Danio rerio: one gene and its partner. The protein of the gene in region 1 interacts with the protein of each later gene in a pairwise test. Links are inferred from orthologs where the notes say so. Each region holds a gene or a part of one and is shown in the gene's direction. Other genes may lie near its edges.

Region 1 (2,786 bases):
GAGTATCCCGTTTTGTTACTAACCACTACTGCACAGACAATCCCTATTCTATAATTTATTAAATCTTCCTACCCTTATTTCTGTAGATTGACTAATCATTTTCCACATTCTCCACTAAAAACTCTTTGATAAATATTAACCCTTTAGTGGCAAAAATGACATTTACATACTGTTTACCATACATACCGTGCATTTAAACCAAATGTTTTATAGTTTCGCAAATGCAGGCAGTTTTGACTGCATGAAGCCCTTTGTTGTGTAAAATCCTTTCATGTCATCATTAAAATGGTGATTATCCTTTTTAAAAAAATCTTTATTAAAACTAGTCAGGGAGTCTGTGTTTAATTGTGTTTACTTTAAGTTTTATAGTCATAGAATATAGTCATGGGATACTACTTCCAGCATGGTTGTTCAAGAAATAAAATGCTACACTCTGCGTCAGTTAAACATTAAAACAATTGAAAAAAGCGTTAAAAGAACTGTAAAACTTTCATTTATTCATTTTCTTTTCGGCTTAGTCTCTATTAATCTGGGGTCACCACAGCGGAATGAACCGCCAACTTATCCAGCATACGTTTTATGCAGCGGAAACATCCATACACACTCATTCACACACATACACTACGGACAATTTAACTTACCCATATAACACATGCCCTATGAGTTTTTTATTTATTAATTTTTTGACCTGTGGGGAAACTGGAGCACCCGGAGGAAACCCACATGAACATGGGGAGAACATGCAAACTCCACACAAAAACATTAATTGACTCAGCCGAGGCTTGAACCAGCAACCTTCTTGCTGTGAGATGAAACTGCTACCCACTGCGCCACTGTGCAGCCCATTGTTGAACTTAAGCCAGAAAAATAAACATGCCCCCCCCCCAAAAAAAAATGTCATCATTTACTCATCCTCCACTATTTCCAAACCTGTTTATGTATCTTTTAAATTTTGGAAACCAGAAGCCATCGACTTCTATAGGATTATTTTCCCTACTGTATTAAAGTCAATGCTTCTAGTTTCCAACATTCTGCAAAATACATCTTCTTTGGTGTTAAAAAGGACACAGAAACTTCTAAAAGTTGGAGGCTGAGTAAACAGTCATTTTGGGGTATTTAAGTATTTGCTTAAATCCAAAGTGTCTTTATAAATCCGGCAGTGTATATTTAACATACTTTCAGATGGTGCACACTATGTGACATCATGGCCTCCCAGATGTTTTGTCAACCACTCGTATCCTTTTTGTTTTTCAGTGTTTTGAAATTCAGAGTCTGCTGTATGGTCCTCAGCACAAGAAAACCAAAGCCACTCAAAGAAGCGTGGACATGCTGTCTCAGTGAGTTTCCTTTGCTAGACATTTACACTAGCAAGAAGTCTAAAAATGTGCTTCCAGTGCAATACACACTGACATTTCACCTGAACATAGTGTGCTAGTGGAAACGAATATTATTTATAAATGAGGCATTCAATGCTTTATGGTCTTTTTCTAGGTCGCCAGAGGTGAGTGAGAAACGTAAAGCAAGCCGCGTTGAAACAAGGCCTCCGTTCTGTGCAGTGGTTGCATCTGCATCTGAGGTGACATCTAGTCTGTCTAACTCGTAACAACAGTGACCAGCAGGCTGATCTAATGAATGCGGCATAGGCTGTCAAGGATGTTTGACCTCATCCTTTTTCACCCAGGGAAATCTGTGGGCTGGAAAAGAATAAGGCAATATTCCTCGAACAGCACACAAGCTCTGCTGTGTCTTTAATGTGAGTTGCTGAGTCTCAAAGTGGTTGGCAAGGTGACTATATCTCCAGTTCAGAAAATGAGAACGTCCAACAGTGATCTAATACACCGTCACAGTGGTTTTCTGCAAACACTCCTTGACTAGAGAGTTTTCTTATTTCTGAGAATTGCTGAAATGTGTGAGAAATGTGTGTGAAATGTGAGCTTTCAGGGTTTATTTATTGTTTGCATATAAACCAGTGTTCAAACAGTGAACAGACTAGTCTTTTTTAAAAAGTAAAACAGCACACAAAGCACCCTTTTTCTTTGTGAATTTTTATTTAAAAACAACTACATCTGTTACCTGACAGCCCAAACCGTATATCTGTAAAAGAGGTTTCACACAGTGTTGGTTGAGTCATAAAAGCCTATACATAGTTTATAAGTGCTAAAACTCCACCTCGAAAGTTAAGGGATGCAGGTATACGTGACCCTGGATTACTTTTTTGGAAATAGCCCAAAATATACTGTAAAAAACATAAGGATATAATTAAAGATCATGTTCCATGAAAATGTTTTGTAAATGTCTCACTGTAAATATATCTAACTTCACATTTTTGATTGGAAATATATCGTGCATCCAAGAAGTATTCATAGCCCTTACAACCTTATTCCAAAATAGATTAAGTTCATTTATTTCCTAAAACGATCCCTACAGTGAAGCATAATAGTGGCAGCATCATGCGGTGGGGATGTTTTTCAGCAGCAGATACTGGAAGACTAGTCAGGATAGAGGGAAAGATGAATGCAGCAATGTACAGAGACATCCTGAATGAAAACCTGCTTCAGAGTGCTCTTGACCTCAGACTGGGGCGACGGTTCATCTTTCAGCAGGACAAGGATCCAAAGCACATCAGCAAAATATCAATGGAGTAGCTTCACAACAACTCTGTGAATGTACTTCAGTGGCCCAGCTAGAGCCCAAACCTAAATCCTATTGAACATCTCTGGAGAGATCTGAAAATGGATGTACACCGTCACTTCCCATCCAACCTGATAGAGCTTGAGAGGTACTGC
Region 2 (3,390 bases), on another chromosome or scaffold:
ATTTTGTGTGTTGTTTGCACCCGACTATAAATATAAATTCTGGTACTGCAAAGTTTTCCTCAAGCCTTTGCTGTAGCTCAGAATTATAAATTTGTCTGATTCTGATTGCTAATGAATAAGTGTAAATGTGAGCATCTGCTGTTTGCTCTCTGCAGCTCCTGTGGTTCTGGACCCGAACACGGCTCATCCAGATCTGCTGGTGTCTGCTGACCTGAGCAGTGTGAGATGGAGCTGGAGCAAACGGGCTCTCCCTGATAATGCGGAGCGATTCGACCACCACCCCTGTGTTCTGGCCTCAGAAGGCGTCCGCTCGGGCACTCTCAGCTGGGCAGTGGAGGTCAGACAGAGCTCAGACTGGACTCTGGGGGTCACCACAGAGCTCAACCAGAGGAAGGGCTGGGATTTCTTCAGCGCTGACGTCTGGAGCGTGTGCTATGATGAGTACAGCGTGTCCGAGCGGCCCGTGTTCGGGGTCCGGGTGAAGCAGCGGCTGGAGCGAGTGCGTGTGGATCTGGACTATGATGGAGGAACCATCAGCTTCTCTGATGCGGTCAATAACACACACATACACACCTTCAGCTCCAACTTCACACACACACTCATTCCGTTCTTCAGCTGTTACACCATATTCAATCTCAAGATCTTACCGTCGAATAGTCAACAACAGCTCAATACTAATGCAGAACTTACTCCTTAAAGAGACAGTACACACAAAAATGACAGCTTACTGAGTATTTACTCTCCCTCAAGTGCTTCCAAACCTGAAGTTTCTTTCTTCTGTTGAACACAAAGCAAGATATTTCGAGAAAGCTGAAACCATTGACTTCTATAGGAAAAGCAAAGACTATGGAAGCAATAGTTACAGGTTTTTGGCTTTCTTCAGAATATTTTCTTTTGTGTTCAACAGAAGAAAGAAACTCATAAAGGTTTGGAATGAGTAAAGTGTGAGTAAATGAGGACAGATTTTCAGTTTTTGGGTGAGATGTGCCTTTAAAGCAGGTATTCACCTCTTGAAGTTAATGTTGACCATCAGCTTTTGGGTTTCCAGCATTTTTCAAAATATGTCTATTAGTTTGTTCATCAGAACAGGTTTTGATCAAGTGGAGGGAGAATTTTCTGAACATTATCACATCTGTGTTGTTTGAAACTAGGGCTGGGATAATATATTGATTTATTGCGATTTGAGAAATGATTCTGAAATGTTCTGAAGGCATTGCAATTCTTTCTTAAATATATTCTGAGTTTAGTTTTTACCACCTGCTGGTAAAATGATCCTAGAGCACCGTCTGCTGGAAAAAACTATGCTAGAGCACCGTCTGCTGGTAATAACTAGCCTAGAGCACCGTCTACTAGTAAAAACGATCCCAGAGTACCGTCTGCTGGTAAAAACTAGCCAAGAACACCGTCTGCTGGTAAAAACAATCCTAGATGGCCATCTGCTGGTAATAACTAGCCTAGAGCACCATCTGCTGGTAAAAACTAGCTTAAAACGTCATTTGCTTGTAAAAACTAGCCTTAAACGCTGTCTGCTGGTAAAAAAAAAAAACTACCCTAGAGTACCGTCTGTTGGTAAAAACTAGCTACTGGTAAAAACTACCGGTAAAAACTAGCCTAGAGCACCATCTGCTGGTAAAAACAATCCAAGAGTGCTGTCTGCTGGTAAACACTAGCCTAGATCGCCATCTGCTGGTCAAAAAAATTGTTTAGAGTACTGTCTGCTGGTGAAAACTAGCCTAGAGCACCATGTACTGGAAAACACAACTAGCATATTGCACCATCTACTAGTAAAACTAGCCTAGAGCGCTGTCTACTGGTAAAACAATCCTAGAGTACCGTCTGCTGGTAAAAACTAGCCTACAACACTGATTGCTGGTAAAAACTAGCACATAGCACCCTCTACTGGTAAAAACAACTAGCATAAATCACCATCAACTATTTAAAACTAGCCTAGAGTGCCGTCTGCTGGTTTGAAACCTGCCTAGAGTGCCATCTACTGTTAAAAACTAGTATAGAGCACGTCTACTGGTAAAAAAAAAAAAAAAACTAGCCTGAAGCGCCATCTGCTGGTAAAAACTAGACTCAGAATTGTTTCTAGAGAGAGTCACGGTGTATTCAGGTATTTATCTTCCCAGGCCTATATAAATCACATTATATACTGAAGCATCATCGTTAATGACGTATTCAGCAATTTGAGATGCTGCTGTGAAGAGGAAAGTGTCTGAGGATTATTCCACTATATTTATCATTATTTTGTTACTGTTGTTCTTGATGTTCTCAGTGTCTGGTGTTTGATTTTTCACTCATTCCCTGTTCTGTTTATCATGTTTTCTCCTATTTCTGCACGTGCACACTTTATACACAACTGACACTTTTCTAGATGTTGATGAATCTGTTCTGCTTCAGGTGAAGATGATTAATAAGCTACGTTTGTTTAATTACCCCTAATCTTTAATCTCACTGATCCATTGACCAAAAATGTCAGATTTCCGTTGCTTTTGTTTTCATTCAGCTGATTTCTGTTTCAGATTTACTGTATATAAAGTGAAAACAATCCTTCACTTTCCTTCATTTCATGCTTCAGCGAGTCTGTGAGGCTTCAAGCGTTAAATAAAAGACGTCTGTGTTTGTAACAGTGTTCATTATAATAACTCATATAGGTTTTATTTGTTTCATAAGCATATCTGTTCATATTTCAGTGTAAATCTCTGCCTAAAGGCAGAGTCCGGGCTGATTTAGAGATTTGGAGCATTAGAAAACTCCAGCTATGAGGCCAAAAACAAAATAACTCTTCAACTCTTTTACACATGATCATTATTTTGCTCGTAACAGTTTATTTATGCTTGTAGACTTGTGTCTTGCCAAGCTGTGTTAGGTTTTTTCACGATCATAAAGACTTTATCAGTTCATTATTAATAATTAAAAAAAAGTCTTGTAAAAAATGCAAACTTAAAAGTAATGCTACTTTTCCATTTAATAAGTTGTTATTAATGTTTAATAATTCTACAAGCATGTCCTAATAGCACACGTACAACACAGAGATCTATTGATGACTGATCTATTTCCTCAGCTTTATGTTTAATAAAAGCAGCAGCCTCTTCTGTTGATCTCTGCAGTGCGCAGTGGTTTATACTGATTAAACTGATCACTGATCTGAGAAACTTATTATATACTTAAAACAATTAAACCCCAGAAAATGAAAAACATCACTGTGTGCTGAAAAAAACTTATTAAATATATGTTTAGAGTTGTAACATTAAATAAATAGACAAATAACATGACAGGCAGAAATTAATTATGACAGATTTTTTTACGAACATACCCACTGTTTGTCCAGTGCAGCCTGATAAAACTGATTCACGTGTCAAGTGAGACACAGATAATGTGACAGCT

The links.
Region 2: the proteins of ttc23 (region 1) and trim35-4 interact in binary tests that used the Homo sapiens proteins (3 or more experiments, as listed by UniProt). The two-hybrid records come from large-scale screens. The link is inferred for Danio rerio from reciprocal best matches to the Homo sapiens genes TTC23 and TRIM10.

What each region holds. Positions count from the first base shown.
Region 1 is NC_133193.1:22,240,624-22,243,409, forward strand, and holds the end of ttc23 (tetratricopeptide repeat protein 23), read left to right. Parts: intron 1-1,254; coding exon 1,255-1,337; intron 1,338-1,491; coding exon 1,492-1,603; 3' UTR 1,604-2,029; downstream 2,030-2,786. UniProt on the Homo sapiens protein: Participates positively in the ciliary Hedgehog (Hh) signaling.
Region 2 is NC_133178.1:701,470-704,859, reverse strand, and holds the end of trim35-4 (zinc-binding protein A33), read left to right. Parts: intron 1-155; coding exon 156-697; 3' UTR 698-2,630; downstream 2,631-3,390. UniProt on the Homo sapiens protein: E3 ligase that plays an essential role in the differentiation and survival of terminal erythroid cells. May directly bind to PTEN and promote its ubiquitination, resulting in its proteasomal degradation and activation of hypertrophic signaling.